Linked DNA regions of Struthio camelus. The protein of the gene in region 2 purifies or fractionates together with the protein of the main gene of each other region. This does not show direct contact. Links are inferred from orthologs where the notes say so. Each region holds a gene or a part of one and is shown on either strand. Other genes may lie near its edges. The genes, in order: PRKD1 and HDAC5.

What was found.
Region 1: the proteins of HDAC5 (region 2) and PRKD1 purify together in Homo sapiens (affinity purification with western blotting; 4 studies listed by BioGRID, with this or other methods). This does not show direct contact. The link is inferred for Struthio camelus from reciprocal best matches to the Homo sapiens genes HDAC5 and PRKD1.

Annotation. Positions count from the first base shown.
Region 1 is NC_090946.1:52,818,603-52,822,502, forward strand, and holds the start of PRKD1 (serine/threonine-protein kinase D1), read right to left. Parts: upstream 2,641-3,900; 5' UTR 2,346-2,640; coding exon 2,148-2,345; intron 1-2,147.
Region 2 is NC_090966.1:4,665,352-4,669,251, reverse strand, and holds the start of HDAC5 (histone deacetylase 5), read right to left. Parts: upstream 2,955-3,900; 5' UTR 2,940-2,954; coding exon 2,918-2,939; intron 1-2,917. UniProt on the Homo sapiens protein: Responsible for the deacetylation of lysine residues on the N-terminal part of the core histones (H2A, H2B, H3 and H4).

The DNA.
Region 1 (3,900 bases), on a different chromosome or scaffold from region 2:
CAGGATTAATAACATACAAATTAATCTGCAGAATAGAGGGAGGTATAGGCCACCATCTGAAAAAAAGCCTATCTTTCTTTCCATTTTCCCTTTCCTTAAACCTCTTTCTTCCCAAAGGCAGTAATTTGGGCTGTGACAGTCTGTGACTAGAAGAGAGCTCCTCATTCAAGTATACTCTGTAGAAAAGCACCTAAAAGATTATGTCTTTCAAAAAAAGACAGTCTGTAAGCTACAACAAATTAAGCTGTTCAAATTTTTTATGTCAGTGCTTACTTAATCAAGTCTGACTCTTGGATGAGAAGCCAACACATTTATTTTTCTTTAGCCAACGCTACACTGTTAGGAAAATAGGAAATTGTTAGGAAATACAAAAGATTAGACTCAGGCACATTATAAACCCATGAAACGTATATGCTACTCAAGCACAAAAATATAAACAATGAATGCAACAATCTTAGCATATTTACATTACTGCTAATATAATAGCTGATAAACAGTTATATATATAAACTATACATAACCATTATAAACCATATATAGAAAGTTATATATAAACTTATAAACAACTTATATACCTATTAAAAGCATATATCTTGTGCATAACTTCTGTGTGAGCAAGCAACAAGTTTCGTCTGGGCTTTGAAAGCAAATACAGTAATGTTAAACTGCGGGCATGTCTTTCTTCAGAATTTAACTTAATAAAGCAGTTAACCCTTTCTTAAACTAAGAAAAATATAGAATTTTAAAAATGAAGCTGCATATTTCATACCATTTTGAAAACATGTCATTAGTTGTGAAAAAAGGGAAAGTTCACCCTCTGTAGTGAGGTTTAGATGACAGAGTAAAAACAAACCCAGAGCAAAACTACCAACTTAATTTTGGACTTTTTTTTTCCCCCTAAATCTTACCTCAGTAAAAAACAAGCAGTTAAAAAAAATTTCCCATTATAACTAACCTGAATATCTGGCAGTTTTACTTTTTAGCCCTTAAAAAAATCATTGTGATACTTCTACGTGGGTCTTTCAGACAACACACAGTAGTGCAGTAAAACTGTTAACATTCAACATGATTGTTGAGGCACAGAAACTCGAAAGGACAAAGAGTAGCGGCGTTGCAGGGCAGATCCAAGTGCAATGGGTTTTAGGGTGTTCCCCGAGTGGCGCGAGACTTCTGGCTAACTCTGTCCCGTGATGCTACAATTTCGGAGGAGCAGCAAGGTAAATGCCGGGCGCTGCACCCCGCGCCGCCCCCCGGCCGGGCCCGGCGGCCGCAGCACCAGGCGGTGCCTCCCGCCCCCCCTGCGCCGAGGCCACCTGCCGGCTCGCGGGGCTGCGGCCGCTTCCGCAGACCCCCCGCGGCCGCTGCGCGCCCCGCGGCCGGGCTCGCCCAGCCCCGCGGGGGGCTGCTGGCAGCGGCCGGCGGCGGAGCAGGAGGCGGGGGCGTTGCGGTGCGACTCCCCTCCCCCCCCCCCCAGCTCGCACAAGCCTCGGCGTTGCCCCCCGGGGGCCGCCCCCAGCTCCGCGCCCGGGGCGAGCGTCACGGCGGGGCGCGGGGGGCACCGGGCAGCCCGGCAAGGGGGAAAGGGTGCGGAGCGCCGCACGCCGCTGTGAATCCTGGGCTGTCGGGGCTGGATTTTCCTTGTTGGTGTTGTTGTTTTCTTTTTTTTTTTTAAGTGGAAAGTTTCCTCTCCCAGCAGAGGCTGGGACAACATATGAACTGCCCCAGGGCGCCGCGCTGCCATCGCAGCTGACAGGTTTCTACCCCCCCCCCGCCACCCCCCGCCTTCCGAAGCAGTAAAAAGCAGGCAGATAGATCCGGCTGGGGGTTGTTTTTAATAACAGCTATTAATACAGTAACTGCATCCCTTGCCAACAAAATAAAACCCAAAGTCTCCTGCCAGCATCCCGCACGGAGCCTCCTCGGCAGCGGGACCGGGCGGCGGGGCAGGGCAGGGGGAGAGGGCAGGGGGGCAGGCAGCAGAGGAGGGGAGCCACGGCAAAGCTGCGATCGGTCTCCGTAGCCCCGGAGCTGAGTCGCCAGGGAGAGGAAAGTTCACAGCCAAGAGCAGCGCCCGCGGGCAGAGGGGCTGCCGGAGCGGCGGGGGGGGGGGGGAGGGCACGGAGCTCAAACTGGGGATTTCTTCTTACCTTCTGGTCGACAATGGAGCAAGCCATTTCCCGGACGTGGGCAAGGCTGAGGTCGCCCGAGGAGTCCTGCAGCAGCAGCACCGGCTCGCGGCTCAGCCCGATCTGGAGGTGGAAGGCGACGCCGCCGCCGCCGCCGGGAGCAGCCCCCGCCGGCGGCGGCAGAGGGCTGGGCGGCCGGATCAGCGGAGGGGCGCTCATCGAAAACTTCCCGCCGGAGCCGCCGCGGGGGAGGCAGGGAGAGAGACGCGGGCACCGCGGTGAAAAGTTTGCGGCCGCCCCAGAGGCGCCGGGCGAGCTCCCCGCGAAGTTTCAGGGAAGTCCCGCCGAGCTCCTCCCGGGCGAAAATGGCGGGGGGGGGGCGAGGGGGAGGACCGGGGAGGATGCAGACAGGAAAAGGCGGCGAGAGACGCGCAGAGCGGTGAAGGCGGGGGGGGGGAGCCCGGCCCAGCGCCGGCGAGGTGCTGCCGCCGCTCCGGCTGTTGGCGCTGTGCGCGGCGCGGGGGCGGGCCGGGCCGCGCCCTCCGCCGAGGCCAGCCGGGCCGGGCCGTCTGCCGTGCCGTGCCGTGCCGCGCCGCTCCGCCACCACACGGCGGCCGCGTCCCCACGGGCGGCAGCGCTGAAATCGCCCCTTGCCGGCGGGTGCCCCCGCGCGAGGACGCCGCCGCCTCCACCCGCCCCATCGGCGCCCGCGGGACTGGCCGCCCGCGCCCCGGCCCCCCCCGCTCCCGCCCCGGTCACTAGGAGGGCACAGCCTGCCCGGAGCAGCGGCGCCCCCCCCCCCCCATTGCCCGTCACCCTCCGTTGTGTGAGACCTTCAAAGCCGCCTTCATCCCCGTTTCCCCGTCCCCTGCGCCCGCCCCGGCCGCAGCTGGTGGCAGGTGGAGGCAGAGCCTGAGGAAGCTGCGGATTTTCCCTCGCTTCGAGGCAGTGCGGTGGGCTCCTCAGGGCTGGGTGGCAGCAGCCGAGCCTGGGCGACGGTGGGGAGATTTGCGTGGGAGTGGGAGCTTCTGCCCATCCCCGGCTCCTTCTCCTCGACCGGCACCTCCTCCAGGAGCCCCCGTCAGGGCTATCTGCGGGAAGAGATGGGGGGAAAAACTTGCACCTGTATCTTCTGTAAGCAGCTTCCAGTTTCACATAATGGGCTGTGCTGAGAAGGAGCTCCCTGCCATCTAAAACCAGGATGAGTTATTCTTCCCAACTTTCAGGATCAGCGCAAGTCCCATCCATATGCACAAACAATGTGGTGGCAGGTGACATTTAATCAAAAAAAAATGCTAATCTCCACTTGGTAATCTGTCAAATGATTGGGGAAAAAGGAATTGTGAATACCTTAGATACCAAAGGAGAAACTCTTGAGTTTTTCATATGGCACCTGTAAGGATGGCAGTTGTAAATGTGTGTTTGTACGTAGAGGTTGATCCCACATTTACTTGGTTTTTTTACAAAGTACTTTTTTGACTAAATGTACAGTAACAATGTTATTTCTTTGCCATCATATGTTTTATTGGGTCACAATTTGCTGTGGCATGTTTATTTCACACCTGGGATTTGCCACCCTTATTGTCTATATAGTTTTGGACCCAGTTTATTCTTCAGCAAGTTTTCTTTTTAAACTGTTAATTTTAATCTGTGTCCTCTACAAAATACCAAGTCTGATGAAAATGTCAGCGTGCTAGATTGAGATGATAGTTAGTCCCACTTAGTAGCTTTTCTTATTACCTTAGGAGTCATAAGTATTTTCAACCACACCCTT
Region 2 (3,900 bases):
GGGAGTCAGGCTCCTCGTGCACACTTGAGCAAGGAGAGCCGGCGCCGACCCCGCGCACACCCGTGCAAGGAGAGCCAGACCCCTTCATGCCCACCCGTGCAAGGAGAGCCAGCTCCGCCCCTGTGCACGCCCGGGCAAGGGGAGCCGGTCCCCTCGTGCACACCCGTGCAAGACAGCCAGACCCCCTCCGTGCACGCCCGTGCAAGGAGAGCCGGTCCCCTCGTGCACACCCACGCAAGACAGCCAGACCCCCTCCGTGCACGTCCGTGCAAGGAGAGCCGGTCCCCTCGTGCACACCCACGCAAGACAGCCAGACCCCCTCCGTGCACGCCCGTGCAAGGGGAGCCGGTCCCCTCGTGCACACCCACGCAAGACAGCCAGACCCCCTGCGTGCACGCCCGGGCAAGGGGAGCCGGTCCCCTCGTGCACACCCACGCAAGACAGCCAGACCCCCTCCGTGCACGCCCGGGCAAGGGGAGCCGGTCCCCTCGTGCACACCCACGCAAGACAGCCAGACCCCCTGCGTGCACGCCCGTGCAAGGGGAGCCGGTCCCCTCGTGCACACCCACGCAAGACAGCCAGACCCCCTGCGTGCACGCCTGTGCAAGGAGAGCCGGTCCCCTCGTGCACACGTGTCTCCGGGGCCGAGTCCGTGCCGGGGGGGCCCGCGGCTCAGCCCCCCACAGCAGAGGCAGCGCTGCCACCAAGCCCACCGTGCCGCGCACCAAACCCCGGGCGAGACTGCAGCGAGGACGGCGTCCTGCCACCGTCCCCCTGGGCACCCACGTGCCGCCGTGTCCCCCCCCCAGGCTGCAGAACCCCGGTTGACCCGGGGCTTCCCGGAGCCGAGCGAAGCCCAGCGCTTGCGCTCGGCCCCGCGTACAGCGCCAGGCGCGCGGCCCCAACCCACCACCCCAAACGGGCAGGGAGGACGCGGGGAAACCCCCCCCCCCATCGCCGCCCCCTCCTCGCAGCGCCGCGCCGGCAGCGTTCGCTCCGGGCTGCTCAAAGCCGCCTGGCAGAGATAAGCGGCTTAGAGATCCAGCTCTAAAAATACCCGCCGGGTATTCTTAGCCGCTGGCAGGCGGCGAGCGCCGGCCCCGGGCACCGGCTGCGAGGAGGAGGCAGCGGGCCGGGACGGCGGTGGGGGGCACCGCGCGGCGCCGCGGGAAAAAGGGCCAAGCGGTTCCCGCGGCAAGAAGCAGGCGGGCGGCAAGCGGCGGCGCGGGGCACCTCGGAGCGCCGCGGGGATGGGGGTCACCCACCCGCCCCCCCCCCCGGCGGCACTCACCTGCGGCGGGCAGGGCGGCGCGGAGCTGCGCGCGGGACAGCAGCTCCAGGGCGGGCCGGCGGCGAAAGGCGAGCGCCCCTCCGAAAGGGTCGGCGGCGCGCCGCGGCGCCCAGGGCAAGGGGCCCGGCGAGCGCGCCGGCGGGTTCGGCCGCCCCACGCTGCCCTGCCGGGGCTCGGCGTGCCGCTCTCCGCGGCCCGGGGGGGGGGGGCCCTGGGGGCCGCTGGAAATAGCGGGAGCGCGGGAGGAGCCAGCTATAAATAGGGTGGCGCGCTAGGGGAGCCGGGCTCCGGGGACGCCCGCCGGCACCAGCACCCGCCGGCTCCGGCACGGCGGGGGGACGTGCTGGGTACAATGCAAAATCCCCCCAAATGCAGCGCTGAGATGGGGGTGGGGGGGGGGAACAAATCACTGCTCGCCACTGCCCCAGCCGCTGGCTGGGGGTCGGGGACCAGGCTCCCCCCACCCCGCGCCGGGGTCCCAGCCCGCAGCAGGGTCCCGCGGGCACGGCCGCCCCCACGGGTGCCGCTCCGGCCCCCCCACGCCCCATCGCCCAGCAGGGTCACCCCGGCACCCCCAGCCCCTAAATTGCTCCCGGTGGTGTGTTGTGTCCCCCCCCCCCCAAGGAGACCCTAATTGCTCGGGACGTTAATCCGCATCAGCGCTGCCAGGAATAACATCCTGGTTGCACCGAGGGGGATTAACACCCCCCCCCAGGACCCCCCCCCAAACCCCCAGTGGCGCCGACAGCCGAAACCGGGAGCCGTTTTCTGCCGGATCAGTGACGTGAACCGGCTCACGCTCCCGGGGGGGGGGCACACGACGGGGACCCCCACGAGCCACACGTCCCACTGCCGCCCCCCCCCGCGGGGGGGGGCCGTGCGTAAACCCCCCCCCCCCCAGCAGGCAGCCACGTTTATTTACCAGCGTGTTTAATCCGAGCCTGAGACTTTTAATAGCCGGGATATTTATGGGACGCCTCCCCCCGTGCCGCCCCCCCCCCCCAACCCCGGCCCCCCGCCCGCCGGGGCGCTTTGGGGCTTGACGTCAGCGGAGCTATTTTTGGCACCGCCGTCGGGCAGGAGGCCGCGGGAACGAGCCCTCGCCGGCCGCCGGACCCCCGCGGCACGCACCGCCCCCCCCCTCCACCCCGGCTTTGGGGCTGAACTGGGAAAACGGGTGCAAGCAGAGAGCGCTCCCCCCCCCCAAATCCCACCCTGGGGTGCATCAAGCATCCGAAGAGCATCGCGGACCCCGACCCGGTCTCGGCCACCAGGTGCCCGGGACGGACGGGAGCCTGGCGACGCCGGGCTGAGACCTGCCCAGCTCATCACACGCGGCCCGCCGAGCAGCAGCCGCCCAAGCTCAAGCCGCCGGGCTTCGGCTCCCAAAAGCACCATCCGAAAAGCCCGGCTCGATCCAAACGGGGGAAGAAGAGGGGGGAGGACGGCGGAGCGGGAGCAGAAAGGGAGGGAAGGGGCCGGGCCGGGCCGACGAGCGGCTGCGGGGTCCCTGAACCCATTTCGCAGATGGGGTAAAGAGGACGGGGGCAGCGGCGGAGCCCCCCACCCCGGGCCGGCGGCAGGTGGGCAAAGGGGGGGGGGGGATCCCGCCCCGCCGGCGCTCACCTGCGTCGCTCCGGGAGTCCATGGCGGCCGGCGGGACGGGACGGGACGTCGCGCAGGAGGCCGAGGCGGGCGGCTCGGCCGAGCGGCCTCAGCACCGCTGCGCCATGCCCCGAGGAGGCCCTGCGGGAGGGAAGGCAGGCGAGCGCCGTCAGCGGCCCGGCCGAGCGCCCGCCGCGAGGCCACGGTGGCGGCCGCCGCGTTACACAAGGCTCCGCAGGGAAACGGGAGGGGGGGGGGGGCGGCCGCGCGCGGGGCAGCGGCTGGACACGCGCGGGGCAGCGGCGGCCGCGACCCTGCATCGGGGGGACCCCGCACCCGTGGCAGGTTTGGGGTGGGGGGCGGTCAGCGATAGAGCCGAGACCGGTGCAACACCCCCCCCCCAAACATGCGTTTGCAAACAGCCCCTCTGCGGCCCGGGCCCCACGCACAGCGGCGGCGCGGATGCACGGGGGCCCCCCCGGCATTGCACGGCCCCCCCACCCACCATTGCATAGCCCCCCCCCCTCCGGCATTGCACGGGCCTCCCCCCCCGCCCCGCATTTCACGGCCACCCCCCACCGCATTGCACGGCGCAACCCCCGGGGCACGGGCCCCCCCCCGCCGCATTGCACGGGGCCCCCCCTCTCGCCTCGCCCGGCATAACGCGCGCTGCACGGTGCGTGTGTGTGTCCCCCCCCCCCCCCCGCGCGGCATCGCCCAGCGCATCCAGCGGTGCACGGCGGCCCCCCCGCCACATCGCCAGTGCGCGGTGCCCCCCCCCCCAAAAAAAAAAAAAAAAACGCCATTACATGCTCCCCGCGTTGCACGGCGCCCCCGCCCCGGTGCACGCCGCACCCCCCCCCGGTGCACGCCGCACCCCCCCACCCCCCCCGGCGCGCGGGGCCGTTACCTGCGCGGTGCCGGCGCCTAGCGGGGCCCCGCGCGCCGCCCGCCGCGCGCCCGGCCCGGCCGCGCCGCCCCGCGCGCGCCCCGCCGCCCCTCCA